Xenopus tropicalis: one gene and its partners. The protein of the gene in region 2 purifies or fractionates together with the protein of the main gene of each other region. This does not show direct contact. Links are inferred from orthologs where the notes say so. Each region holds a gene or a part of one and is shown on either strand. Other genes may lie near its edges. The genes, in order: prkar2b, akap11 and prkar1a.

What was found.
Region 1: the proteins of akap11 (region 2) and prkar2b purify together in Homo sapiens (affinity purification with mass spectrometry; 3 studies listed by BioGRID and IntAct, counting the BioPlex papers as one, with this or other methods). This does not show direct contact. The link is inferred for Xenopus tropicalis from reciprocal best matches to the Homo sapiens genes AKAP11 and PRKAR2B.
Region 3: the proteins of akap11 (region 2) and prkar1a purify together in Homo sapiens (affinity purification with mass spectrometry; 3 studies listed by BioGRID and IntAct, counting the BioPlex papers as one, with this or other methods). This does not show direct contact. The link is inferred for Xenopus tropicalis from reciprocal best matches to the Homo sapiens genes AKAP11 and PRKAR1A.

The regions. Positions count from the first base shown.
Region 1 is NC_030679.2:76,689,374-76,699,844, forward strand, and holds the start of prkar2b (cAMP-dependent protein kinase type II-beta regulatory subunit), read right to left. Parts: upstream 5,332-10,471; 5' UTR 4,933-5,331; coding exon 4,665-4,932; intron 1-4,664. UniProt on the Homo sapiens protein: Regulatory subunit of the cAMP-dependent protein kinases involved in cAMP signaling in cells. Type II regulatory chains mediate membrane association by binding to anchoring proteins, including the MAP2 kinase.
Region 2 is NC_030678.2:132,780,109-132,790,444, reverse strand, and holds the start of akap11 (A-kinase anchor protein 11), read right to left. Parts: upstream 4,886-10,336; 5' UTR 4,650-4,885; intron 1-4,649. UniProt on the Homo sapiens protein: Binds to type II regulatory subunits of protein kinase A and anchors/targets them.
Region 3 is NC_030686.2:50,528,966-50,539,354, forward strand, and holds the start of prkar1a (cAMP-dependent protein kinase type I-alpha regulatory subunit), read right to left. Parts: upstream 5,496-10,389; 5' UTR 5,363-5,495; intron 560-5,362; 5' UTR 558-559; coding exon 384-557; intron 1-383. UniProt on the Homo sapiens protein: Regulatory subunit of the cAMP-dependent protein kinases involved in cAMP signaling in cells.

The DNA of each region.
Region 1 (10,471 bases), on a different chromosome or scaffold from region 2:
CCGGTTAAGGAACATGCACATTGGGACAGGTAGGGAGCAGGAGGAGAGAAACCTATGTGCCTTTCCCTGCCCACCTCTTACCTTATACAACACTGTAACAGAGGAGCTGAGGGTACAAAGTGTGAACAACAGGCTGGACTGCGTCTGTCTTTTAGCACCCCACCCTGAAAAAATAACCCTTTAGGTAAGGGATCTATTATACATAATGCTTAGGACTTGGGGTTTTCCATAAAAGTTTTTTCTGTAATTTAGATCAACATACCTTAAGTCTACTTATGTTTTTATTATTAGAGAAAAAGGAAATAATTATATGTATAATTCCTGTAATTTGGAGCTTAAAAGATATCGGGATTCCAAATAATGGGATCCCACGCCTGTAGGGGGGGCTTCAACTTTTACTTACCAAACACAGTGCTGGGGAATGTGTCATAAAAATGTAATGCGACTTCAACGCTTATGTAGCATTAAGGATATTCATGAACATAAACAAGTAACTTTTGCAGATTTGAATGGCCAGGTTTTTTTCCAAAGCAGAAATTTTGTACAATTGCATAAAGATATGATAGTCAACATTTATACAAAACATACGAACATTGGAATGCACTACCTCACATCTTACTAGTACAACTGCAGCCATCTTAAATTATACAATTTACACAGCAAACCCACCACCTATTCTCACTATGATCTAAGGGAGTATGTTAAAGAAACTACTCCCTCACAATTTATTTACCCCACCATTAGAGATGTATTGGACCAACTCTTTCTTTCACAAGAGCTTCGACAGGCTATTTATGTGACCCTGGCTGGAAAAAACAGTTGTTCTGCAGAACTATATAAAATACTTGGGGAATCACTCTCTCTGGTTATGCCAGAAGCCTTTACTCCGTCTCAGCTAATAATCCACCTTTCAAACCCTTTCTTCAGGTAACCATAACAATGATATTGAAACTGGTACAGAGCCCGTCCGCAGTGCTCGTTATAGTTATAGTGATACCGTATTATATGCTAAAATGTTGGCCAAATTCATAAGACCAAGTGGGATTTGTACCAGGCAGAGTAGCAAGGGACAACACTTTTACAATATTTTAGAATGCCCACACCATAAAACACCACTTTTGCTTCTATCCACTGATGCAGAGAAGGTGTTTGATGGGGTAAACTGAAGCTTTCTGGGTAGGGTTATTCGTAAGATAAAAGCTTTATATAGTGTCCATCAGGGTCCAAATCAACTGACCACTGTCTGACCCCTTTAAACTTTCCAATGGAAAACAACAAGAGTATCCTCTATCAGTAGGACAGGACAAAATCAGTAGTAGTTATACCTGTGACCACCCCCCAGAGTCAACATCTATTTAGATACCCGTGCCCGCCCCATCTCTGATGCCACAAAAGGGGCGAGGCAGGTGCACGTCGTGGCAGGAAGAGCTCTACTCAAAGCTGCCCGTGACCTGAATTGTGTGTCGGCCAGAACCTGCCAGGTAAATCCATGGGTTATCAGGCATTGCCTTATAACATTAAAGTAATTTTTAGAAATTCACATTTTTTCACAAAAAAAAGAAAAGACAATTACTATAGTGATAATAACTTATATATAGCTCCTTATGCAGCTGTATGACAAATGTACATCAATTTCTACGTTGTTAAATAAAGTCTTTATAAAGATGCACCTAATCCATTTTTGAGACACAACAGGCAACAACTCCAATATTTATTAAGGTCCTATACAGTACAACAAGCATCGCTAAACTTAGGCAAAGTTTGGTTACCAGTAGTAAATGTAAGCCTACTTTAGATCTTTTTTTTCTGTTCATTTACTTGTATGCAGTACATTTAGGGGCACATTTACTAATCCACGAACGTCCGAAAAGCGTCCGAATGCATTTTTTTCGTAATGATCGGTATTTTGCGATTTTTTCATAAATTGTTGCGACTTTTTCGTAGCCATTACGACTTTTTGTAAATTGCCACAACTTTTTCGTAGCCATTACGACTTGCGCGAATTGTCACGACTTTTTTGTAGCCGTCGCGCCGAGTACGAAAGTTTCAGATTCATTCAAGCTTCAGTATCGTGACTTTCCTTGGGCCAGGTTGGAGCTGCAGAGTGCCATTGAGTCCTATGGAAGGCTTCCAAAATCATCGTTTACGAGCGCTCAATTTGAAAAAGTCGCGACAATATACGAGCAAGTTGTAACGGCTACGAAAAAGTTGCGACAATTCACGCAAGTCGTAACGGCTACGGAAAAGTCGTGACGGCGACAAAAAAATAGCAAAAAATACGAAAAAGTCGCAAAATGTTCCTTTCCAATCAGGTTTTTTCCCATTCGGGATTCGGATTCGTGGATTAGTAAATCAGCCCCTTGGTATGCGCCTCTGTCTTTCTCTTCTCTTCACTAGTCTTTCTTCCTGTTCCCCACATACCTTTTCTTTTTCCCCCCAACTTTTAACATTCTCACTTGTGCCTTCTTGCCCAGACACATTTTCTCCACTGTACAATAATTTGCACTGTTCTTACCCATTTTAATGATCTTCACTTTTCCCCATTCCTCTTTTCTAGCTACCCCATCTTTCACACTTTTTATCTTTTAATGCTTCATATTTCGTGTAGGCCCTCCTCACTGGTCACTGTTACAGAAACCCTTACATTTTTCTTTTCCGTAGGCAACATATTTTATTTTTCCTTCCTTTGGTGTATATCTTCAGCTCTCTTGTCCCTTGTGCTAAGTGGGTGATGTACAGATTCTCTTGAAAGCAGAAGCACTTCAAGTCCCAGAATCCATCACTTCACAATAGAAAAAGGTTGTATAAAAATGTGAGCCTATGGGGGGAAGAAATGGTTCAGTTGAATATAGGTTGGCTATAAAGGTTTTCTTTCAATATGTAGAATCAGGTAAGTGTTTAAAATGCATCCTTATTTAGATAGTGTTTATGCTCCTTTTTAACATAAGCCCAACTGAATGAGTTCATATTAAAATGATGGGGGTATATGGTCCCTTTTCAGGTATAAATGGCTTACAAATTTTTAAATCACAGCCGCATAAACTTACATTTAACACTAAATTTCATATGCCATTTACTTACCCAGATTGCCCATATCATGCACAAGGATGCCATATCCTGAATACAATTAATTGGCCTACATAGTTTTGTGCCATCTGCAAACTGCATATTTGTTGTTGTTGTTTTTTAATTAATAAACAAAATCATTTTACACTTTATTTAGAGTAATAAAGTTTTGATAGTTACATGGACCAAGCTATTTCTTAGAACTTAGCAAGTGTCCTATTGACGCCCAAGGAAAGACTATTTGGTCCTGCACTCACAATTTCTTCTGCACACCAACCCTGCCACTGTCTGGGCTCTCCCTCACCCATCAACCACTCCTATCTCACCTAGTCACACCTCTTAACTATGCCAGAGGCACATAACTCTTCTGCCTACTCCTATTTCTAGCCCTGCTACCCTGCATTATAAAAACTCTCCTATGGGCCTCCATTCTAGAACTACTTGACATACCAAGGCCCTCTCCCCATATCTCTTAAAGAGCCAATTCCATCTTATTCCTCTTATAGTAATTGGCAATCAGGTAAATGCACAAGGACTGATGTTTGTCAGACTACTGTGGTAAGAAAAGGCACACTAGCTGTTTTTTAGGTGGAAACTGGCTGACAAGGATCCCAAAGTACCCTTGTCCTAACACGCAAGATGAATGTGTCTCTTTCATTTTCTTAATTTTTTGGGACTCTTAGTAGAAATTGAAACAATTACCTGGGTCTTCACAGACAAATAAATCCTATGATTGAAAGGCAGCAGAATAAAATACATTCCTTTAAGGTAATGACATGTATTGGTCCTCCTCTGGTAGAAAAGCACAAGCCTGCCTGTACTGCCCTTTTCTCCTGATATTCCCTTCAATTACACCCACCTGACCCACGGGGCAGACTTCAGCCTCAGCATCTGATGCCCACCTGTGTGCGCAGCGACAGGTAAATGTGATTGTAGGAAACAGCAAAAAAGGTAATACCTTATGAAGTCACTGGCATTTATCTGCCATGTCTGTCTTTAGCCTTAAGCAACTACAAATATTTGCTGTAACTTTAAAAATATCATATTTTGTTCTAATTCTCAGAGCAGTTGACATAGATTTCAGTTTTTAATAATGCTGTGTCTTAGGACAATAGAGGGGAGAGTAGAGACATCAATAGGTGAAGGACAGCTATAGTAATACTACAATAACAAGAGCACTATTTAATATTCTCATGATGTTGCCTGGATGGGCAAAGAATGTATATACTGTGGATCTCATATAAATGTCGCTGATCAAGCAAAAGGTTAGGTGTTTGTTATAGTACCATAAAATAATATCTAACCATGAGGCATCTTATCTTTATAAATATGACTGAGAAAATATAGGTTTTGTTTCTGTAATTTATACACAGTATGGTGTGGCCTTAGTTCTGTCCCCTAAAACGTAAACATATAATAACAATACGGTGTGAGTGAGTTTTGTGGGGAAACCACCACCACGAGAATTCCCTTACAGCTGGCAATTTTAGTTCAGTCACAGCTTGAGAGAAAAGGGTGGAAAAACCTATGCCCTGCATATGGAAGGCAGGGACAAAAGGACGGACACCTGAACTGCAGGGTTCCTCATTAGCACATACCCACAAAATCCTCTTCATCGTCATCCTCCTCCTCCTCGCCGTTTTCAGAGTCAGTCTGCATGGGCTCCTCGGCGAAAATGACCCCTTTAGTGAGCCTGAAAGGTAATTCCATGCCATGGCTGAGGGGGCCGCCCTGACTCTTAGACTGCTTGAGCTGGGTGAAGTACTGCAAGGCGAATTCCAGCAGGTCCTCGGGCTGTTTTCGTAACACCTCCACGGTAAAGCTCTGCAGTAGCTCCGTCAGCCCCTCCGGGATTTCTATACTCATTCCTGGGGTAGCGGGGCAGGAAGCTGGATTTGGTGCACAGCAGCAGTATGTCACTGGGAGATCTCTATTGGCTGCCAGTAGGCACAGGGAGCTGGCTACTATGGGGTACCATGCTACTCATAGAGCATAATGCAGGGGTACCGACATGAGAATAAAAGGCGCTGCTCATCCGTATGAACTGGCATTATTAACATTCAAGCAGGTGATGGGGTTTAAGTGACAGGAAAGTTAGGCGAGCCCACATGACACGCTAAAGAGGGGGGGGCAATTAGGCAGTGATCATAGGGCAGCAGGGTGTACGAGGTCCAGCGGCCTGAGGCACCGGGTCCCTGCCCGACAATACAAACATGCAAGTGGGCACTGGTTTAAAAGATTTCTTTTTAATTACAGCGATGATGATGAATCCCTCTTCCACGCTGTGGCTCTGGCTCTCCCCAGGCTCTCACTTGTGGCGACACCGCAGTCGGCGGCAATAAGGGTATGAGAGGCACGCTTAGGCTGCGCTGCGAACCCTTATCGTTTCCGGGGAAGATGGTGAAGCTGTTGTGTTGTCCTTGTCACTTCTCCCGGATTAACAGGCCCCCAAGCTCACACAAGGCGCAGACCAAATACAACTGAGCATACAAAGTGCTGCATCCTCCGCCTCCCGCCCGCAGCCGCCTGTCAATCAAATGGGAGCCAGCAGCGTGCATGTGACCACCGGAAACCATGGCAACCCTCCATCTCAAGCATTGCGTGTGGAGCAGGTGCGGATACAGACTGGCGGGGATGCTGCGCAGAAAACGACCAATGTGGCCGAAGGGGACTCCGATTTCAGCAAAGAATGAAAGTGGGTTAAGGGCTCAGAGATGGCAGACTATCAGCAGCAGTCTGTTTTATTTATACTACACTATAAGGCTCTAATTGTCTTCACTAGAAAGGCCCTCGCTTTCCTTTGATTTTTCCTACTGGTATCCCCATTTTCTTACAACGAATATGTTGTCTCTGTATGACCAGCTTTTAATTATTTATAAATATATATATATATTTGCTTGAAAATCTATTTTTGTACTGTCCTGGAAAGTATATCTTTATTAGCCTCAATCTAGCCAGTACTACTAGCCAGTAGTTTGTAAAGCAGCCAATATATTAAGTTAAATCCACACATAAAAATACACATTTTCCAACTATACAATAAAAATCTGCATATTTTAGATCACATTTTCAGGATTTCCTTGGCTTTTTTAGGAATACTGTCATGGGAAACAGGTGTTTTCTTCACCAGAAAAACCCTGCATTTAAATCCATTTTTTTATAAACTCAGGTTTTTTTAAATTTCATTTTGAAATTTCACATGGGGCTAGCCATATTCTTCATTTCCCAGGGTTCCACAACCATGTGACCTGTGCTCTGAAAAACTTTAGTCACACTTTACTGCTGAGCTGCAATTGGAGTGATATGACCCCCCCCCCTCCCAGCAGCCAATCAGTAGAAGGTAGCAAGACAGAAGCTCCCACTAGATATCAGAATAGCACTCAGTAGTAGGAAATCCAAGTGCATCTTGGGACTCCTCCAGTTACAGTTCTAATGTGTAGCCCTGTCTTCTTCTGAAAGCTCAGACTCAGGCACAGTGCACTGAGATTGCTGCCTACACACCAATATTAAAACAAAAAAATACATTTGTTGGTTCAAGAATAACATTTTAAATGGTAGAGTGAATTATTTGCTATGTAAATAATGTAATCTGGAAATAAAAAGTATACCATAAAAATCATGACAGTATCCCTGTAACATTAATTCTCTAAAGCCGCATTTTCCCTAAATAATCTTTTAAAGGAAAAACTGCTTAACTGTTGAGTATAATGTAAAAAATGATCACCATATGGACAAATATTGTCAAGAATAGATGGTAGTACTTACCAAACCATCAGTTCTATACAGTAAAGATTATTATTCATTAGCTGGAGCAATAGTTCTATTTGTTTATCAAGTGCAGGTTTGCAGTGATAGCTGCACAATCTCTCTGGCTGGTGTTTGCCAGTAGGTGGATTATGGCATTAGGTACTGAAATGAATGCCCTCATCATAGCCATGATAGCTATTGCCTGGCCTAACCATCACAACAAAAGGGTGAACAGCCAGAAGGCCGTACAAATGTTTTACTGACAAATGAAAAATCATTCTGTTGGTCTCAGGCACAAAGAAGCTATTGCAACTGATTTACCAGATGTGCTACATTTCCTCAGTGCAGTTACTTATAGCAACCAAACAGATCTTTGCTATTATTTTCTAACTTTTAATTGACTAAAAAGCTAATTGCTGTATGTTGGTATAGGCCACTGCACTTGTCTGATTTAACACCTAAGTTTCTTGTGTTTACCTCTCTATTAACTTCAGGCTAGCTTCAAGCACCAGCCAGAAAGATTGATGCGTTCTACCTGCGGTCTGCCCTTGCATTTCAGTGAGCACAAACGAGTAGGCTGCGATTCTTCCTGTGTTTCCCTGTGCTGGAATGTATGAATGATCCAGCGCAGGGAAACATAGTAAAAAATGCTTGTATGTAAAAGCCCTAATAGAGGAAAGATAAATAGAAACATAATTGTAATAATATAGCTTCACATTCTGTTTTCTGGTTACTGACCCTAAAACCCAAGTAGTGCTATAAATCACATGTTGGACAGAGGCAGAATATGAAGTCAAATAAATTATTAATGAAAGAAAAAAAGTCCTCACTATTTTGACATGATATCTTTGGGAATTTATTTACTGTACCCTTTCACTCCCTAGTCACACAACATCACAATCAGTTCAACATATTGCCAAGATACAACCATAGGTCTTTAACATACTCATGCATGCCCTTGTGAAAATTTTGCTACTGGTCTAATCACCTATAGCAACCAATCAGCAGGTAGCATTTTCTGGTTGCCTGTTTAAAAACAGACAGGGTATTCATTGTTTTGAATGAGAGATTGGCAGATAAGCAGTAGAGGGCCTTAATAAAAAGTAACAAAAAATTGCAGCATTCCATTTAAATGCTGGAAAGAGACAGAAGAGAAAGACAAACAATTATAAATCTATAAAAACAACTGATTAAAAAAGCTATTTTATATTATTCTATAATATACCAAAAGATAACTTAAAGGTCAACTTAAAGGTCAACAACCTCTTTAACCTGTGTTTCTAGAATTATTCAGTTCTTACATAAGGCCTCTTCAGATTCACATCCTTTTTGTGTCTGAACCTTGCCCACCCCAACTGTCCTTTTTACACTTGTGAAGCATATACAGTATATTTATTGTATTGTACATTTCTAGCAATGTATTGTAAAAATACATGGCATACAAAAGTAGAAATAAAAAAGACAAAGAGACATGTATAAAAATGTACACAAAAATATTTTTCAGTACAAAATTCAGTTTCTTCAGTTTTAAGGGCCCACCAAATAAATCACGCATGCAGGTGTTGAATTATATGGGTGGATGCATATAGAAAGTTGGGACAACCAGGGCATTGGTAGTTGGAAGGAGGGGGACAAGTTTACAAAGGAAGAGGGTATCAGAGAGAGTCACTGACAGTAACTAGTAATAAATATAACTGGGGCAAGATGAATGAAATAGTATGGCAGGTATGTAACTTGCACCAAAATGTGGTTGCATCTTGGAGCATAAAACTATATACATATATATATATGTATGCATCATTGTATGGAATCATTGTAGCAACAACATTCCGTATTATGATCCTAATATTTTTTTTAAATGAAACTGCGCACAATTGGTTCCACAATTGACTGGTTAGGAATAATATGATTACCCACCTGTAAATGATTGGATTGTGTCGCAATGGAACTGTATGTGGTTGGCTTCAAATCTATGTGTGCCTTAATCCATTTCTCTCTTTAAAAGGATTAAAGAAATATCTGAAACAAAAATGACAGCAATGGAAAATGCTAACAACAACATAATTATTCTAGCACATCATAAAGAATTAATTTCTTTTGAACACTGGAAGGATTTAAAAACATAAGCCCTGAATCCATCCTTTGTTGAGGCAGAAGTCATTGGTATTCTGTACACCTTTTAGAAGCTTTGCAGTTTTGTACCTTCATAGTGCTAATGTAAAACATAACTTGATAAGTGAAATATTATTTAACTGTAAAATGCCTATTCTGCAGACTGCATTTCAAAAATGTTAAAGTGATACTGACAGCAAAATAATACATTTCATTATATGATTCCAAAAGTACCTACTACTCATGTTGACCGTTTTCTCCGGAAATCGCTTGTTTTTTAAATAAACGCTTCTTAAATCCTGGACACGACTGTGAGACAAACCCGACTGTCTCTGTTCCTGAGCGCCGATGTGTGCGTGATGACGTTTTCGCGCAGTGAAGCAAGAAAGGGCAGCACAGGACCCGTCGCCAATTGGTGGAAAGGTATGCTTTTTTTTTTTATTGCAGGGGTGGCGTTCCAGGAACCCGGAAGAGAAGAAAGAAGATGGCAGCGTTGTGGGGGAGCAAAGGAAATCAATGGTGGGGGTAAAAGATCCTAGACTAGGGGTTGGCCTAGTGCCCCCTCACTGTTGCGCCCTAGGTAGGTGCCTCTTCTGCCTAGCCCTAGTTCCAGCCCTGATGAAGAATGTGCAGTGCATTTGTCTTGACATAGATAAACTTACTGTACATGCTCAGATGACCAATATTCCTGATTTGAAAATCAGTACGGCTGTTCATTCTACTAGCCTAATAAAACATCATTATGTTCAGATTTGTAAATCTGTGCTACACTACATCCTTTTCTACCTGCCCACCTTCAAACTCACACATTGCTTGTTTGTTTCTCTGTTTTTGCCAAGACCAGTTTCAATTCACAAACCCCAGAAAGACCTGGCACATGTAGACCAACAGGAAATATAGGGAATGTTCCCTCTAAACTTTGCATTTTGGAGCTTGCTCAAATTTTGACAGCAGCACACAGAAGTTGTAATAGGCACAAAGATTTTGTGTCAAAAACACATTATTTTGTACATATCCTGACCTGTGCACATACTTGTTTAAATAGTCTGCACACACAAAAAAAAAAAAAAATTTTCTTCGGAAAAAAGTCTAGAAGAAATTAGAGGGAACATTGGACACAGGCTGGTAAAAAGTTCAATAATTGCCGAGTGTGGCCAGGGCAGAATATTGTAAAATAAATTTAAGAGCCATGATGCAGTTCAGATAAAATGCTTCAGCAGTATACATGTGTGTTCAAGCATTTTTAGAACAACAAGAACATATATTTGTTGGTGGTTCATTCAGGCCTTGCTACATTTCCCCATTGTAAATGATCTTGCCACTAGCCTGCACCTCCGCGTGGAGCTGCAGGTTTACCTCTTCTTCTGAAAAGTTTTGCCACATCAATGCCTTTCTGAGATAGAGATAATTTTACATTGGACAATGCAGAAATATTATTTCACTTTACTTAAACAAAAATCATGGGGCATATTTACTAAAGGGAGAACACTATAATAAAAATTCACCACAAAATCACCAATTTACTAATAGGAGAGAGCAACAAGTT
Region 2 (10,336 bases):
TTTGCCCAAGCAAGCTTTGCAATTTATTTACTTTTTAGTCACAATCAAAAGCTAATCGTTTTTACTATATTTATGGAGTTATATAATAAAGGGCCCTAAGTTTGCCCAGCTGCAGAAACCCATAGCAAACAATCAGCAGGTAGCCTTTATTAGTCACCTGTTTTTAAGCAAACGTGTTATTGGTCGCTATGGGTTACTGCACTGGGCAAACTTTGTGCCTTTTATTGTATATGGGGTTTACTGTATAAATAACAAAGGTAGATACTTAAAGTGACTCTGACAGTTACAAACATCTGCACTTTGCCCTGCAGATCAGTTCTATATAAGCAGCACTTTTAGTTTTATGCTTAACTACTCGGTATGCAAAGAGCCCAGAAGGTGCAGAACACTGGGGCTTCAAAATTTACTAAAGTCAGTAGGGTAAATCTGTATATATGTATTATAAAGGCATCATCTGTGGACTTTTTCTATAACAGTGTCTGTACATGTATATTCTGCTCATAAAAATCAGGCTGGTTATGATGGATCTTTAACCAATGGATTTCTGCTACTTCTGAATTGCAATCCTCATAATGCCTGGGGTTAACAATAAATGAGTTAATGAGAATCAAGGGAGCGCTCAGCATAGATATGTAAAACAAAAAAATATACTTATATCTTAACTTGTTTTCCCAGATTTTATGAAAATTACATTAGATCTACGTGTAGATTTGCCCTTGCAGTGTATACACAACCATGCTTAGCATACCTTAACTCTGGTTTATATGCTGGAACATGCAGGGTTTCACGCCACTAACATCTGGCCACGCATGGGTAACAACACAGCCTTGCATCATTGTTTCCTTTCTAGAGATGGCCAAAACTATCTATTGTAGCAAACCTTGAGATGTAACCAACGCTCCATTTATAGATGCACAACAGAACAATTTGGAGGGTGGCACAGATAGGAAATATCACTATAACAGGGGTGTCAAACTCAATCACATAAGGGGGCCGTGGGCCTAATTTTTTATTTAGATACTAAGGGGCAGATTTATTAAAATGTGAGTTTAGAGCTTAATCATAAAAACTAACCAATGGTCTATTCATTCAAATCATAACTTTCACCCATTGATAAATACACTTCTAAAAATCCTATAGAAATGAACAGAACAGGGATGCGTTTTTATGTATTAAGCTCTAAACTCTTTTGATAAATCGGCCCCTTAGCCTAAGTTAAGGATAGATCTTTCCTCACCCTGAAACACAATATCACATGCCATCCTCGTACATTAATCATGTTTTGAAAAAAACAACAAGCACAAGGCAAACTGTAAGCAAAACAGTTAAATTACAAACTCAACAGTTTTTAATACATTTATCTATAATTCTATATTTGAAATTTAGGTTTTAAAATTGCTCATCTATTTGTTTTCTGGCTAGAATCTTTCTACTCTGGCACAGCTGTGCCTAGTGCTGGGTGCCGTTGCCAGTGGCACATAGACAAGCCAGGACCGGATGGGAGCCGTGGACAATAGCCTGGCCAATCTAGGCCACGGACGAGCAGAGGCTCATTATGTGGCCTGTGGTGACTGTGCTCCAAGCGGCTGCTCTTATGTTCTGCCCTGCAGGGTGTGTGGTGCGTATTATGTTATTCCGCACCATGCAAGGCAGAATGAAAGCGGCTGCTTTGAGTGGCGCATTCAGGCAATTGGTCACGCAGCATGATCAGGCACAGTAACATCGCCACTGGGACAGGAGCGGCACAGTCAGGCAATAGGTCAGCTGCACGGTCAGGCAGTCACAATGGGCCACATGAAACAGCCAGGTGGTCGGATTTGGCCCGCGGGCCTTGTGTTTGACACGTGAGAATTACAAACTTGGCATTTTTTCATTCTTCCTTAAAATAAGACATCCTATCTCTTTCAGATTGCTTTGTGGGAATGAACAAGAGCAACACCCCTACAGTAATCAGTGGATCAAATGTTGTTTGCTCCTATGAGTCCTCAGCTGTGGAGTCGAGAGTTGGAAGCAATTATGGGTACCTAAAGTTTGAGTCAGCACAAATGTGCCGACTCTGACTGCTGTTAAGGTTTGTTACAATATTCTATTTCACAGATAAGTCATAATAAAGTACTTCTGTAAGAGGTACTGTAAGAATAAAGGCCAGTGTGGTGTTGTTTCACTAGTCTGATGTCCAGGGAAGCTATTAGAATCTTATTGTTTTCATTTTTTGTCTTTTGTTTAAACTTTAGATTTTAGGGATGTTTGTAGTTTATTTAAATGATAAAAAGCCACAAGGACATAGGCTTAGCTTAGTTATAGATTTAGACCCAAACTTCAACAGTATCCTCATTCATGTTGGCTGTGAAAGGCTTGTATGGCCAATAGGATAATGCGTCAGTTGCCTAGCAAGTAGTTCTTTGGTTTGTTCCCAAAAGCAGACACCATCTTCATCTAGCTTTACAACTGCTGAGTTTTGGCAGTGATGAAATGCTTTGTATGTTGTGTTCTATTTGGTCAACATAGAAAATACATTAGTGTATTTAAAGTGAAGGAATCGGAGGAGTCGGAGTCGAGTTGAATGTACCATAAACTAAGGAGTAGGAGTTGAAGGATTTATGTACCGACTCCACAACCCTGCTCAAATCAAGTAATAAATTAAATTCCTGCTTAGGGTAGTGCCACATGGGGCTCATTCTCAGTCTGTGTAAAAACACGAGGAGAGAATCAGCCAATCCTCAGGCCTCTGCACTCACTGTAACTGCAATAGCCTGGGTGCAGACACATGGATGTTCCCTCTAATTTCTTGGTTCTGTGCACAAAAAGTTTCTTTGTGCTCACTTTTGAAAAACTGGTGTACAAATATCAGAATAATATACTCAAAATGTATTGATTTGTGTGCACGTGCATGAGTACACAGCTTAAAGGGAACAGTGCCAGAGGGAATTCCGGGAAAACATATGTAGTTTTACACCGAAATCTGCTTTGTGTGTCTGCACCCAGGCCAACGCAGTGCCTATGAGTTCAGACACATGAATGAGCAGAGACCGGTGGATTCTCTGCCTATGTTTATACGCAAGCCCCATGTGGCACTACCCTTAACAAGCAGTGAGGTATTAAGCCATTTAGTATTTTAAATACAATGAAATCAAACCTGTTTGACTGCAGCCCATTATCAGAATTAGAGAGCCATGGAAATGCATATATACCACCATATATATACCTCCTTTCAGAACAATTATTCTTCTGCCTTTGCATTCAAATAACATGTCTTATTTTGGAACCAAAGACTATTGTTTGTGTATCTGCTAGATAACTGCATAGTTCTTCTGGCAGCATCCCATCCATAAATTTTAAAGCTTTAAAAAAACCACATACTAACATATTTGCTGTACAGCAACCAATCAAACTGCTCCAAAATGATGAAATCTGATTGTCTGGAAATTGCTATGGGCTACAAACCGAAAGGACAATTTCATACTTTCTAGGAAAAGATGGGTGTTGGGTTTTCACAGACCTGAAGATGAACAGCCCCATAGTCTTATCTGCAGCTCTTGAACTAACTACATTTGGGAAGATTCCACAGCATTATGTATGTGAGTACCTATCTCCCAAATGCACCCATGTACAGGAATGCGTCTGGTAGTCCCCATTCCCCGAGTCAGAAACCTTAAGAAGGAGACAAGACAAGGAACCCACAGTATCAAACCCACCACAGGTAACAAAGAGACTGCCATGACAAAGGATTCCAAAGGCAAAAACAGCAGGAAGGTGCTTCCAATAAGACTATATGCCTGGCACCAAACAATATCACATGTGCCATAATCATCAGGGTGAAGGTAAACAAGGCAACTTGGCTCACCTTATGTGATAAACTTTCCAAGGGATGAAAGGGTAGATTTTGTTTTTGTTGTTAATGGGACATATTTTGACTAAACTGGCAAAATCCTGTCCATCTGTACTGGAAGGAACAGAAGGGAATAAAGATCATTGTTTGGTAAAGTATTCAGACAACCAAATATTTGTCTGATTTGGCCCATGCCATTTATCCCTGAGCCAATGGTCACAATGTAATGGAGTTGCTCACTCCCACAAATGTCATCATGAGTGTCAATTTCTTTATGTTTTTTACTTTTCAGACTAGAACACAGTAGCACAACCTGCTACCCCAGGAGAATACTATGACAAGTATTAAGGAAAATTCTAGGCCCTGAATTTTCTGGTTATCTGGTCCCCCTACTCTGGGACTCAGACAGCTGATTCATATAGAAACTTACAGCTATGACTTTGTATTGAGGAAGTGCAGTGACAGAGGTTGGAACCAGTGGTTACTTTTCATGTTTTATCCGCCCCAATAGCACAAAGCAGTACCAGTATTTGAGTCACAGGCCACTCAGAGCCCAAAAGTAAACAAGGTGCCACACTCCCAGGATCACTGTACCTGGAGGCAAATCATAACTAGCAGCAATAAAAGGATTAAGCATGCTAATCAGCGGATTACTTTAAGCAAGAATGCCATACTGTCTGTGTGCAACTACAACTCCCAGTAGCCTATGTCTGACAGAGCAGCAACAGAAGCGCAGGCAAGCCATGGAGATTCTGCAGTGCTATGTTGCGAATGGTGTGAATGACAGGCACACAGAGCAGCTGACAGCCATTATCATTACCTATCATCCGGTCATACGCAGGCCCCCAACGCCACAAGGTGCACAGAAGCGCTGCAGCAACTGCGGCCCGTAGATCGGTTATTCCTGCAGCGCTTTCATCGCAATAAACCAAGTGGCAGCATCATTGGCAGATTCCGGGCCCCGGACCCTGGGAAGCTTAGCTGGGCAGCTGAGGGAGTGTTGTGCTGCTGCTACTCGCTGCTGACGTTTCTCCTGCGTCATCTCACTGCGCTTCCCTGACGGCGCGTTGGTTGGCAATAGGAATGGCTGGCACTGACGTCATAGCCGGCAAGTGCATGTATGGCGCTGAGACTTACAGTAGCCACTCACTGTAGCCACTCACTGTAGCCACTCACTGTAGCCACTCACTGTAGTTGGACCTATAGCTGGTACAGCGCCAATGAGGTTTTCTGCTGTGTAAACAATTCCTGTCTGTGGCTCCAAGGCCATTAAAGCACATTAATGGCTGCATGGGGATAATAATATTTCTCTGTTTCACACAAAAATATAGGGAATGAAATATCCCAGTTGTAAACTATAAGGGTATTAGAAGGCTCTGGGGAGTTCAATGGCCAAACAAATGTTTTTATACAGGTCATGGAACTCTCCAGAAATGTCTAATATCCTTATATTTTGCAAAACCAGGGGATATATTATCTGTTATAATACACAAGGAAACAGTCATGTGACATGTGAAATTACATCTCTGAGCAACTGGTGGCATTATAAGGGTAGAGTTTAAAGGATTTTTGATGGCGTTATGTGTATTACTTTTTATATTTTACAACTCTGCACATTAATTTAACCCATTCCCATGTGCTTACATCATGTTCTAGTGCCCTAAACTCTGATTGCCATCACACTGGGAACCAACATTGCACTGCCGGTATATAATGGCCTGTCTGGTAAAAATGATGCGCAATGCCAATGTTATTAATAGGGAGGAAAGACAGAAATATGGGAAGGCCATTATTTTTTAAAAAAAATGGTGATAACCCTAACTTGTTCTGTTTAGAGATGTCTGCTACTTGTGAAACAGTGGGATTGAAGCTACACTGCTTATTGCAAGGTCCAGTACAATTCACAATATCTTCATTATTCTATACCTATGATTTGGCCTTTACCCAGATAGAGACAGAGATCACAGAAGCACCTGCTGTGGGTGTAGGGAAGTACTGGGCCCATACAAACCAAATGAATACTTAATCCTTAGTGGCCAGTGATGCTCAGCTTGTTCCTTGGCTCACACTGTGCCCCAGACTGGCATCTGGACTGTGACAATGGCAGCAGACGTGTGTGCAAGACTGAAGCCAGGTTCAGTATGGTCACTATCCTGTATGATCACTCCTCTCTTGTATCACTGCTCTCGTTACAGCTGTGCTCCTCCATCACATTCTATTACAGTGGCCTGTGGGGAGATACAAAGTGTGCCGTTCTGTTACAGGGGAGTAGTGCAAAGGCTAGCTTTAGGGTGAAGACACATGGAGCTACTTGTCTCGGCTACTAAACGCCAGAAAATCCCCTGCCATAGACAATACTGAGAATTGCCTCTGCTAAAATATATGTAGAGACAATTATCAGTAAATTATTAGTATAATCTATTTTAGTAGACATGACAAGTAGCTCCTACTAATAGCTCTGTGTGTCTTCACCCTTACTAATACATAAGAGAGCTAGCTGTGATGGTGCACATTTTGCAATTGTGCCACTGCCTTTACCACATTGTTTCTAGAAAACCACTCAGGACAGTTGCCACAGAATTGATATGCTAATAATCTACTATGATATAATTAGGGTCCCTTAATTCTTTAACATATACATCCCTCCAACCACCCCCTAACTGATCAGCACATTTGCAGGAATGTCTTTGTGCCATTCAGCTAGGTGGGGGGTACCCACACCTCCCCCACAACTCTGCAGCTGGATTTAGCAGCCATTGTCCTGTGGCAAATAGTGGGTTTTTAAAAACCGGAAAAAAAGACAGGAAAACCTCTTTGTTACGTATAGGCACTGAGTACAGCACTCCTACAGCTGCTGCCCTAAGCATGTGCCCTTAAATGCCTAAATAGATTATATGCCCCTGGGGACAGAACAAAAGCAATTATATTCCGTATTATAAAGAAGAATTGGCAATGTAGTGCCCCAAGAAGTCAGTTGTGGTTAGTTCCGTGGCAGGTACCCCACCAGTTGGGATCACAGCTGGAAGCATTTGGTAAAGAGTGGTCCCCTGATGGCTTCAGACCATGCGTCCCCACCAATGAATGTTCCAAGCACCAGTTGGTCTGGTTTGTCCAGGAATAAGGTGGAAGAAGAGCGCCAATTCCATAATAAAGTAGCTGACCATGATGGTTGGAAAGTGAGAAGCAGTGAAATTCTTGGTGGGTCAAATGAAAGTGAGTGTAGGACTGGCCAGACTGGGGATGACTGACATAGTTGGCCAGCTTGAAGTATATTGCAATATATGGACAAATAATCCCTGTTTTGCCTAAAGGGGAGGGCATTTCTTGGTAGCTTTATGCACAGAGTTCCTTAATGTCCTGTATATATTGATAATGGGTGAGTGCAGAGGACCTCTTGTTGTCGTCTGTATGGAAAGTGAGAAGAGACAGGAATGGGATGCAGTAGCCTGACCACTAAAAGGCTAAAGCTATCTGTTATTTGAGGCAAAAACAAAGTATAAAGAAACCTGCTGTGTGAGAATATAAAACAAAGATAAAGAAACATGTTGTGTGAAACAATGAGGAGAAACTGATGGGAAAACATACAGAATATTTTGAGGAGAAAGAGAAACATCAGTTTTGAGCAAATTAATCTTGCTGAACTTGATTCTCATTGCTTGATTTATACTTCTCAAATAGATATATGTCGTGTACTTTAAATATCCATTCCTTGGCCATGAAAACTTGGATTTCAGTATTTGAGCCCATTTTGTCTTTTTTTCCAGTGCTGACCTTGTTTAGCTATTACACCTGCCCTGCCTTGCTTTGTTGCAGAGTTCTAAATCCACATTTATAGATTGACTTTACCCCTTGCACTCCAATGTAGTGTTTAGCAAAGGGGTGGGTCTTCATCTTTGGCTGCCTCAGGTGGAAGGTCCATTGAGCCTGGGATCAATAGGGCCCCAGTAATGCCAGTCCTACCCTAGAGTATCCATCTATACTCTAGAGAAGTCGGGGACAGGGACCCCGTGAATGAGGACAAGTTATATAGTTATACTCTGTTGAGCTCTTTCTAGGAAAGTGAGATAGTTAGCTGAAGGAAGCAAGAGCAGCTTTGGGCTCCAACCAGGAAAGTAGCTGGAAGTACCTTTTTATACAGACACTGTTGCCTTAACATAGGGCCATGGTTAAGACACAGGATACAGGCAGTACCTAAACCCTGATCCACAGTCGGTTGTAAGTTTCTTAAAGCTAAAGGTATTCAACCTGAGGACTGAGGTATTTATCCAGACTGCTTTCCTAGAGGTGCCGAGCTGTGCTTTCATAGAGGTGCTTTACCCTGCCCAGTCTCCCAAAGAGGTGGGATAAACCGGTGGCATCCTTTCTTGTTGTCCTCACAGGGTACTATAGCTATACCATCTGCATTGTGAGTGTCTGAGCTAACCCTGCATTATTATTTGTCTCTGACAATAAACACAGTTATTATTTGTTCACCATCAAGAACCTTCTGGCGTCCATTTTTGCTAATTTGCACTGCACACAACTACAGTGAGTTGTAGTTCCACTACACCCCATGATACTTCCATTTAGCAAAGGTCCATCCTGTCTAAGAGAGTTGCATGTACCCCATGCCCTAACCTATTCTGGCTGGTGCTTGACTGTTTTACCACCAAATAGGGGTTACAGAACCTTTTTAGCATTTGATTTCTATAGCAGAAATAGTTCTTTCTGAAAAGACACGGGGGGGGGGGTAAGAAAGGAAATGCATTGTAGGCAAAGCAAAATTATCTGCAAGCCAAGTCATCTCCATGCTGGGAGGTTTGCCTGGTACCAAGCTTCTCTGTACAGCTTTAAGAAATTGAAGATCCTTTATTTTAATCAGCTACAACATATATTAAAATATGGCCCATTTAAAGGGATCTCTTCCCAAACATTGTTTTTTTTTTTTTTTTTTGCATAGGGAAAGCAACGTTTGTTCCAAGTAACTTTCCAAGACACATTAATTAATAATTTTTAGTGGTTTTAAAGCTATTTGTAAATGTAATTGCAGTTGAAATCTGCATCTGTCCTGCTGCTTATATACCCTGCACTGCTGGTTCTGACTCCTGTAACAGAACTGGAAGAGAACTGACTTCTACTACATTGTTTCCAGAGCCAAAACCAGAAGACAGCAGTTATCAAAATTACATTTACAATTTTATCACCATTTAAAATGTTTAAAAAGTTGCTCTTAGTCTATATTGTTCATCCATTATGCAAAAAAAACACAATATATGTCAAATGATAAATTTATATTCCTCATTTATCTGAATATTTGATATCATAGGATTTTTACTAAACAACAGCAATAGGCACTTCCTTTACTATCCATTTGTCTCGCACTTTTATATTTAGTTGGTATAAATAAATCTAAATCCCCCATAACTACAATCTTTTTATGAACTTTAGACCCAGGGACATCCTTTAGAGTTCCTGATGGTGGTTACAATAATGCAATCTCAAAATACACCGGCACCTCACTGGGCATTTTTTATTCCTCTGGGGCCCAATGAGAGGTCTCTCTTCCTACCTCTTTCCTTCTGTAATGTAATGTAATGTTAGAAGAGCTGGGAAAAAAGTCAGAATAGACCAATATTATTTTAGTTTAAAGCCATTTCTGTTTGCTCGTGGCCAAGGGGCAAGCTCTTGCATACTAGGTTATTACCGATTAGTTATAATGATTTGCCCTTAATACAAATGTCCATCCTTTTCTCAATTTTATTTAGTAATTGTATTTCTCATTCCAAAATTCCTTCCATTAAATAGGTCTTTCTAATAATCTCTCTCATCTGAACCATAAAGCTTGAATTACAGGGAAGTTTTTTTATTACAAAAAGGACAATAAGGCGAATAACTGTATTTTATTTGTAAAGTGTAGTTTAGCAGCACAGGGAATGAGATGGGATCCAGCTGGAATCTGCAAGAACATCAGCAGGGCATGTATTGAGGCCTCTTGGCCCAGGTCATTCATCTGGTTCCTGTATTGCAGTGGCCGCCACACCTTTACCAACTCCCCCCCTGCCTTTGGCCAGGACTTACTTTCTCTCATGAAAGGATGGAATTTGACACCAATCTGAAAAGATTTTATTTTATTAAACGGTAATTGTATGTACTGTATATGAATTTACACCTGTATCATTATAGTCAGTGATACAGGTATAGGACCTGTTTTCTGGAAACCTCTTATCCAGAAAGCTCCGAACTAGGCCAACTTCCATAGATCCATTTTACTCAAAACTTCCATTTTTAATGTTTGCCTGTTTCTTTGTAATAAGAAAACAGTTCTAGTAGATATAATTTATCCTTATTGGAGGCAAAACAATCCCATTGGGTTTATTTAATGTTTAAATGATTTTAAGTAGACTTAAGATATGGAGATCCAAATTATGAAAAGATTTGCATTCTGGATAAAAGGTCTCATACCTGTATTGAACTTTGTCACTTACTAGAAGCAGGCACAGACACGCAACACTATAACTATGTAATTCA
Region 3 (10,389 bases), on a different chromosome or scaffold from region 2:
CTGCCAGCTGATGGTCAGACCCAGCCCAACAGTCCAAGGGGAGCAATTCTGCATTGTGGCTGGGGGGCACAGTGGGGTTTCAGGGCTAAGGCTGGGGGGCACAGTGGGGTTTCAGGGCTAAGGCTGGGGGGCACAGTGGGGTTTCAGGGCTAAGGCTGGGGGGCACAGTGGGGTTTCAGGGCTAAGGCTGGGGGGCACAGTGGGGTTTCAGGGCTAAGGCTGGGGGGCACAGTGGGGTTTCAGGGCTAAGGCTGGGGGGCACAGTGGGGTTTCAGGGCTAAGGCTGGGGGGCACAGTGGGGTTTCAGGGCTAAGGCTGGGGGGCACAGTGGGGTTTCAGGGCTAAGGCTGGGGGGCACAGTGAAGCCAAAAGCACAGTGTTACCTTCTCGAGCCGCTCGAAGTACTCCCTGAGGAAGGCCATGGGGCAGGCGGGCCGCACGGTGCAGAGCTGCACGATACAGTCCTTCAGCAGCTGCTGGATGTTGTGTTTGTGCACATACTGCTCACACTCGCGCAGGCTGCGCTCCTCCTCCCCCCCGGTGCTGCCTGACGCCATGTCTGCCGGGAGAGAAGCACCACTGTTAGGGCAACACAATCATACGGGGGGCAATAAGGGAATAAGCCCCCCTATATACAGGCTGTAGCGCTAGGCTGGGGGCAACACAGTGATACGGGGGGGGCAATAAGGGAATGAAGCCCCCGTATATACAGGCTGGGGGCAACACAATCATACGGGGGGCAATAAGGGAATAAGCCCCCGTATATACAGGCTGTAGCGCTAGGCTGGGGGCAACACAATGATACGGGGGGGGCAATAAGGGAATAAGCCCCCGTATATACAGGCTGTAGCGTTAGGCTGGGGGCAACACAATGATATGGGGGGCAATAAGGGAATGAAGCCCCTGTATATACAGGCTGGGGGCAACACAATGATATGGGGGGCAATAAGGGAATGAAGCCCCTGTATATACAGGCTGGGGGCAACACAATGATACAGGGGGGCAATAAGGGAATGAAGCCCCCATATATACAGGCTGGGAGCAACACAGTGATACGGGGGGCAATAAGGGAATGAAGCCCCTGTATATACAGGCTGGGGGCAACACAATGACACAGGGGGGGCAATAAGGGAACGGAGCCCCGTATATACAGGCTGGGGGCAATAAGGGAATGAAGCCCCTGTATATACAGGTTGGGGGCAACACAATGATATGGGGGGGCAATAAGGGAATGAAGCCCCCGTATATACAGGCTGGGGGCAACACAATGATACAGGGGGGCAATAAGGGAATGAAGCCCCCGTATATACAGGCTGTAGCGCTAGGCTGGGGGCAACACAATGATACGGGGGGGCAATAAGGGAATGGAGCACCTGTATATACAGGCTGGGGGCAAACACAATGATACGAGGGGGGCAATAAGGGAATGAATCCCCCGTATATACAGGCTGTAGCGCTAGGCTGGGGGCAACACAATGATACGGGGGGGGCAATAAGGGAATGAAGCCCCCATATATACAGGCTGTAGCGCTAGGCTGGGGGCAACACAATGATACGGGGGGCAATAAGGAAATGAAGCCCCCGTATATACAGGCTGGGGGCAACACAGTGATACAGGGGGGCAATAAGGGAATGGAGCCCCTGTATATACAGGCTGGGGGCAACACAATGATACGGGGGGGCAATAAGGGAATGGAGCCCCTGTATATACAGGCTGGGGGCAACACAATGATACGGGGGGGCAATAAGGGAATGAAGCCCCCGTATATACAGGCTGGGGCAACACAGTGATACAGGGGGGCAATAAGGGAATGGAGCCCCTGTATATACAGGCTGGGGGCAACACAGTGATACAGGGGGGCAATAAGGGAATGGAGCCCCGTATATACAGGCTGGGGGCAACACAATGATATGGGGGCAATAAGGGAATGGAGCCCCGTATATACAGGCTGGGAGCAACACAATGATACAGGGGGGCAATAAGGGAATGAAGCCCCCGTATATACAGGCTGGGGGCAACACAATGATACAGGGGGGCAATAAGGGAATGAAGCCCCGTATATACAGGCTGGGGGCAACACAATGATACAGGGGGGCAATAAGGGAATGAAGCCCCGTATATACAGGCTGTAGCGCTAGGCTGGGGGCAACACAATGATACGGGGGCAATAAGGGAATGAAGCCCCCGTATATACAGGCTGTAGCGCTAGGCTGGGGGCAACACAATGATACGGGGGGGGCAATAAGGGAATGAAGCCCCGTATATACAGGCTGGGGGCAACACAATGATACAGGGGGGCAATAAGGGAATGAAGCCCCCGTATATACAGGCTGGGGGCAACACAATGATACAGGGGGGCAATAAGGGAATGAAGCCCCGTATATACAGGCTGGGGGCAACACAATGATACAGGGGGGCAATAAGGGAATGAAGCCCCCGTATATACAGGCTGGGGGCAACACAATGATACAGGGGGGCAATAAGGGAATGAAGCCCCCGTATATACAGGCTGGGGGCAACACAATGATACAGGGGGGGCAATAAGGGAATGAAGCCCCGTATATACAGGCTGGGGGCAACACAATGATACAGGGGGGGCAATAAGGGAATGAAGCCCCGTATATACAGGCTGGGGGCAACACAATGATACAGGGGGGGCAATAAGGGAATGAAGCCCCCGTATATACAGGCTGGGGGCAACACAATGATACAGGGGGGGCAATAAGGGAATGGAGCCCCGTATATACAGGCTGGGGGCAACACAATGATACGGGGGGGGCAATAAGGGAATAAGCCCCCGTATATACAGGCTGTAGCGTTAGGCTGGGGGCAACACAATGATATGGGGGGCAATAAGGGAATGAAGCCCCTGTATATACAGGCTGGGGGCAACACAATGATATGGGGGGCAATAAGGGAATGAAGCCCCTGTATATACAGGCTGGGGGCAACACAATGATACAGGGGGGCAATAAGGGAATGAAGCCCCCATATATACAGGCTGGGAGCAACACAGTGATACGGGGGGCAATAAGGGAATGAAGCCCCTGTATATACAGGCTGGGGGCAACACAATGACACAGGGGGGGCAATAAGGGAACGGAGCCCCGTATATACAGGCTGGGGGCAATAAGGGAATGAAGCCCCTGTATATACAGGTTGGGGGCAACACAATGATATGGGGGGGCAATAAGGGAATGAAGCCCCCGTATATACAGGCTGGGGGCAACACAATGATACAGGGGGGCAATAAGGGGAATGAAGCCCCCGTATATACAGGCTGTAGCGCTAGGCTGGGGGCAACACAATGATACGGGGGGGCAATAAGGGAATGGAGCACCTGTATATACAGGCTGGGGGCAACACAATGATACGAGGGGGGCAATAAGGGAATGAATCCCCCGTATATACAGGCTGTAGCGCTAGGCTGGGGGCAACACAATGATACGGGGGGGGCAATAAGGGAATGAAGCCCCCATATATACAGGCTGTAGCGCTAGGCTGGGGGCAACACAATGATACGGGGGGCAATAAGGAAATGAAGCCCCCGTATATACAGGCTGGGGGCAACACAGTGATACAGGGGGGCAATAAGGGAATGGAGCCCCTGTATATACAGGCTGGGGGCAACACAATGATACGGGGGGGCAATAAGGGAATGGAGCCCCTGTATATACAGGCTGGGGGCAACACAATGATACGGGGGGGCAATAAGGGAATGAAGCCCCCGTATATACAGGCTGGGGGCAACACAGTGATACAGGGGGGCAATAAGGGAATGGAGCCCCTGTATATACAGGCTGGGGGCAACACAGTGATACAGGGGGGCAATAAGGGAATGGAGCCCCGTATATACAGGCTGGGGGCAACACAATGATATGGGGGCAATAAGGGAATGGAGCCCCGTATATACAGGCTGGGAGCAACACAATGATACAGGGGGGCAATAAGGGAATGAAGCCCCCGTATATACAGGCTGGGGGCAACACAATGATACAGGGGGGCAATAAGGGAATGAAGCCCCGTATATACAGGCTGGGGGCAACACAATGATACAGGGGGGCAATAAGGGAATGAAGCCCCGTATATACAGGCTGTAGCGCTAGGCTGGGGGCAACACAATGATACGGGGGGCAATAAGGGAATGAAGCCCCCGTATATACAGGCTGTAGCGCTAGGCTGGGGGCAACACAATGATACGGGGGGGGCAATAAGGGAATGAAGCCCCGTATATACAGGCTGGGGGCAACACAATGATACAGGGGGGCAATAAGGGAATGAAGCCCCCGTATATACAGGCTGGGGGCAACACAATGATACAGGGGGGCAATAAGGGAATGAAGCCCCGTATATACAGGCTGGGGGCAACACAATGATACAGGGGGGCAATAAGGGAATGAAGCCCCCGTATATACAGGCTGGGGGCAACACAATGATACAGGGGGGCAATAAGGGAATGAAGCCCCCGTATATACAGGCTGGGGGCAACACAATGATACAGGGGGGGCAATAAGGGAATGAAGCCCCGTATATACAGGCTGGGGGCAACACAATGATACAGGGGGGGCAATAAGGGAATGAAGCCCCGTATATACAGGCTGGGGGCAACACAATGATACAGGGGGGGCAATAAGGGAATGAAGCCCCCGTATATACAGGCTGGGGGCAACACAATGATACAGGGGGGGCAATAAGGGAATGGAGCCCCGTATATACAGGCTGGGGGCAACACAATGATACAGGGGGGCAATAAGGGAATGGAGCCCCCGTATATACAGGCTGTAGCGCTAGGCTGGGGGCAACACAATGATACAGGGGGGCAATAAGGGAATGAAGCCCCGTATATACAGGCTGGGGGCAACACAATGATACGGGGGGGCAATAAGGGAATGGAGCCCTGGGGGCAGTTACACAGGTATAGAGACAGGAGGCAGTTACAGGAGGGCAGGTATAGGGGGAGGGGCAAACAAACAGGATAATGGGAGGAGCCAAGGGAGAGGCAGTTCATAAGGGCAAATAAAATCAATAAGCATGGGGCAGATACACAGGGAAGGGCTAATGTTGGGGGCAATTCCCAGGGAGAGTGGGGGGAGCAAATAAAGAGCACAGGGAGGGGAGGGGCAGTTGATCGGGGCAGGTATTGCTGAAGGGCAGCTGCTCAGGGCAATAGGGGCAGGTATAGGGGAGGGGCAGGTACCGGGGATAAAGCAGGGAGTCGGGGCAGGTACAAGGGTGAGGCAGGGTATGGGGGGTATAACGCGGGGCAGGTAGAGGGGCAGGTAGAGGGGCAGATAGAGAGGGGCAGGTAGCGGGGGCAGGTAGCGGGGCAGGTAGCGGGGCAGGTAGCGGGGCTGGTCTCACCGGTGCCAATGCCGGGCTGTGTGCGCTCTGTATCCCGGGCTCCCGGCTGTGTCCCCCAGTCTCTCCCGCTGCCTCAGGCCCAGCTCCGTCTCTTCCTCTCCCCTCACCGGAAACAGCGCCCAGCCAATCAGCGGCCGCCAGTGACGTCAATCGGTCTGACAGGAACCGCGAACCATGGCAACCGCTAGCCCCGCCTTTCTGCCTCCGTGTAGCCACGCCCCTCGCTGCGTGTGTGTAACTCTTTCCTTGCCGGCCTCTGTGTCTCACTCCTAGACCAGCAATGGGTTAAACTGTTCTATGTAATAGCGGCGCAGTGTGTGGGAATTGGGTCACATGTTCCGTTACACCCCGCCCCCCCAACCGGAAACGGTCACTATAGAGGGGAGCTGCGGGCCAGTGCGGTACCGGGGTGCGGGGGGGGCTCACTCTCCCCCCTCCCCCTCCCCCTCCCCCTCACTCCCTTCCGCTCTTAGTTACTTCCCTTTACTCCCTGTTATCTCTCCTTCCCGCCATTCCCTCTGTTCCCCCTGTTCCCTCCCACACAGAATAGAGTAAGGGTGCAGGCAGGGCAAGGGATTGGGGAGTCTCCCCGGTATCCTGGTCCCACACTGCAGAGCTGGCACTCTAATCCTGTCAGTGGGGGGGGGCGGGGTCTGTGGCACCTTTATTGGCTTTATGGCTCCTGGGAGGGGGATTAGCGCCGGATTAACCTCCTCTCTCTCTATTCTCTCTATTTAACTCTATTCCTGCCGAGCCCCCGAGAGGGAGACAGTAGGGCAAGATGGAGACAGTAGGGCAAGATGGAGGCAGTAGGACAAGATGGGGACAGTAGGGCAAGATGGAGGCAGTAGGGCAAGATGGGGACAGTAGGGCAAGATGGGGACAGTAGGGCAAGATGGAGACAGTAGGGCAAGATGGAGACAGTAGGGCAAGATGGAGACAGTAGGGCAAGATGGAGACAGTAGGGCAAGATGGGGACAGTAGGGCAAGATGGGGGCAGTAGGGCAAGATGGGGACAGTAGGGCAAGATGGAGACAGTAGGGCAAGATGGAGACAGTAGGGCAAGAGGGAGACAGTAGGGCAAGATGGGGACAGTAGGACAAGATGGGGACAGTAGGGTAAGATGGAGGCAGTAGGGCAAGATGGAGGCAGTAGGGTAAGATGGAGGCAGTAGGGCAAGATGGAGACAGTAGGGCAAGATGGAGGCAGTAGGGCAAGATGGGGACAGTAGGGCAAGATGGAGACAGTAGGGTAAGATGGAGACAGTAGGGCAAGAGGGAGACAGTAGGGCAAGATGGGGACAGTAGGACAAGATGGGGACAGTAGGGTAAGATGGAGACAGTAGGGCAAGAGGGAGACAGTAGGGCAAGAGGGAGACAGTAGGACAAGATGGGGACAGTAGGACAAGATGGGGACAGTAGGACAAGATGGGGACAGTAGGACAAGATGGGGACAGTAGGGCAAGATGGAGACAGTAGGGCAAGATGGGGACAGTAGGGCAAGATGGAGACAGTAGGACAAGATGGGGACAGTAGGACAAGATGGGGACAGTAGGGCAAGATGGAGACAGTAGGGCAAGATGGGGACAGTAGGGCAAGATGGAGACAGTAGGGCAAGATGGGGACAGTAGGGCAAGATGGAGACAGTAGGGCAAGATGGAGACAGTAGGGCAAGATGGAGACAGTAGGGCAAGATGGGGACAGTAGGGCAAGATGGGGACAGTAGGGCAAGATGGAGACAGTAGGGCAAGATGGAGACAGTAGGGCAAGATGGAGACAGTAGGGCAAGATGGAGACAGTAGGGCAAGATGGAAACAGTAGGGCAAGATGGAGACAGTAGGGCAAGATGGAGACAGTAGGGCAAGATGGGGACAGTAGGGCAAGATGGGGACAGTAGGGCAAGAGGGAGACAGTAGGGCAAGAGGGAGACAGTAGGACAAGAGGGAGACAGTAGGGCATGATGGGGACAGTAGGGCAAGATGGGGACAGTAGGGCAAGATAGAGACAGTAGGGCAAGATGGAGACAGTAGGGCAAGATGGAGACAGTAGGGCAAGATGGGGACAGTAAGGCAAGATGGAGACAGTAGGACAAGATGGAGACAGTAGGGCAAGATGGAGACAGTAGGGCAAGATGGAGACAGTAGGGCAAGATGGAGACAGTAGGGCAAGATGGGGACAGTAAGGCAAGATGGAGACAGTAGGACAAGATGGAGACAGTAGGGCAAGATGGAGACAGTAGGGCAAGATGGGGACAGTAAGGCAAGATGGAGACAGTAGGGCAAGATGGAGACAGTAGGGCAAGATGGGGACAGTAAGGCAAGATGGAGACAGTAGGACAAGATGGGGACAGTAGGGCAAGATGGAGACAGCAGGGCAAGATGGGGACAGTAGGACAAGATGGAGACAGTAGGACAAGATGGAGACAGTAGGACAAGATGGAGACAGTAGGACAAGATGGAGACAGTAGGACAAGATGGGGACAGTAGGGCAAGATGGAGACAGTAGGACAAGATGGGGACAGTAGGGCAAGATGGAGACAGTAGGACAAGATGGAGACAGTAGGGCAAGATGGAGACAGTAGGACAAGATGGAGACAGTAGGACAAGATGGGGACAGTAGGGCAAGATGGAGACAGTAGGGCAAGAGGGAGACAGTAGGACAAGAGGGAGACAGTAGGGCAAGAGGGAGACAGTAGGGCAAGATGGAGACAGTAGGGCAAGAGGGAGACAGTAGGACAAGAGGGAGACAGTAGGGCAAGAGGGAGACAGTAGGGCAAGATGGAGACAGTAGGGCAAGAGGGAGACAGTAGGACAAGAGGGAGACAGTAGGGCAAGAGGGAGACAGTAGGGCAAGATGGAGACAGTAGGGCAAGAGGGAGACAGTAGGACAAGAGGGAGACAGTAGGGCAAGATGGAGACAGTAGGGCAAGAGGGAGACAGTAGGACAAGAGGGAGACAGTAGGGCAAGAGGGAGACAGTAGGGCAAGATGGAGACAGTAGGGCAAGATGGGGACAGTAACACTACACTAAACGTTACTATGGCAGCTGCACTGACAAACATTTGTTTTTTCATCCAGAAAAAATGATGCCACCATGATACCCTGGAAAGCCAATGAGTTTTTCCCAAGTAAGTTCCCATGGGATGGCACCATTGGCAGTGAGTGGCGTTAAAGCATGCTGAGTCTCTGTCTGATTTCTGGTTGCTGTGTATGCTTTACCATAGCAACAAGACAGCATTTTATGATGGCATAGCAACCCAATGGTTAATTTTTTTTAATATTTGTGTTGGATTTTTCCCCATAAATATCCGGTGGCAACAGGGATAGAACATGAATCTCTCTGGGATCTTGCAACATTTAAAGGCCAAGTAAGTGAGCCAATCTGTATATTGGGGGGTTCATTACTTATCTGTCCCTCTCTGGGTATCACTCTCTGTAATTAAAGTCCATATTAAAAGGGTTGTTCACCTTCACTTTTGGTGCAGCAGCTCTGCAGGTTGCTGGGGTCCAAATTACCTTAGCAACCTGGGAGCGGTTTGAATAAGAGACTGGTATATGAATAGGGGAGGGGCTGAATAGACAAACAAGTTATAAAAAGTAACAGTAACAATAAAACTGGAGCCTCACAGAGCAATAGGGTTTGGCTGCCGGGGTCAGTGACCCCCATTTGAAAGCTGCAAAGAGGTAGAAGATGAAGGCAAATAATTCAAGAACTATAAGAAATAAATAATGAAGACCAATTGAAAAGTTGCTTAGAATAGGCCATTCTATAACATATAATAGCTGAGTAAGGTCGGGATTTTGTGTTAGTCGGGGCCCCAGGTTCCTCGGCTCAGGGCAACGTGGGCAGAAAGCGTTGGCCGCCCGGCCAATATCCCACCTCCCATGGGCAGTCAGTGAGCCCCAAGGGGAATATAACGCTCATAATGTGTATAGCGCTCGGGGCAACATGGGCAGAAAGTGTTGGCCGCCCGGCCAGGGGCAGTCAGTGAGCCCCAAGGGGAACATAACGCTCATAATGTGTATAATGCTGGGGGCAACGTGGGCAGAAAGTGTTGGCCGCCCGGCCAGGGGCAGTCAGTGAGTCCCAAGGGGAACATAACGCTCATAATGTGTATAATGCTGGGGGCAACGTGGGCAGAAAGTGTTGGCCGCCCGGCCAGGGGCAGTCAGTGAGCCCCAGGGGAACATAACGCTCATAATGTGTATAGCGCTCGGGGCAACATGGGCAAAAAATATTGGCCGCCCGGCCAGGGGCAGTCAGTGAGCCCCAAGGGGAACATAACGCTCATAATGTGTATAGCACTCGGGGCAAAAAATATCGGCCGCCTGGCCAGGGGCAGTCAGTGAGCCCCAAGGGGAACATAACGCTCATAATGTGTATAATGCTGGGGGCAACGTGGGCAGAAAGTGTTGGCCGCCCGGCCAGGGGCAGTCAGTGAGCCCCAGGGGAACATAACGCTCATAATGTGTATAATGCTGGGGGCAACGTGGGCAGAAAGTGTTGGCCGCCCGGCCAGGGGCAGTCAGTGAGTCCCAAGGGGAACATAACGCTCATAATGTGTATAATGCTGGGGGCAACGTGGGCAGAAAGTGTTGGCCGCCCGGCCAGGGGCAGTCAGTGAGCCCCAGGGGAACATAACGCTCATAATGTGTATAGCGCTCGGGGCAACATGGGCAGAAAGTGTTGGCCGCCCGGCCAGGGGCAGTCAGTGAGCCCCAAGGGGAACATAAATCAGCCTGTCGGGCGCAGCTGTTCCGCTCAGTTTCCTGCCTCTCTGTTACAGGGTAACCGGACCGTGACTACCTGCCCCCCAGCTATTTGTGAATGAGTCTCAGCTGGAAGATTCCTCCCCCCAAACAAGCTGACGCGCCTTCTATTTTGGAAACAAGTCCTTCCCCGATGCCTGGGGCTACTGACATTGCCAGAGTCAGCCGGGGGCAACCAGATAAACATCCCTCCGGTATGTGCTAGCAATGGGCACTCTGTTGGAAGGCTTCCCAGATTGGGGGCATAGGGGGGACAAACA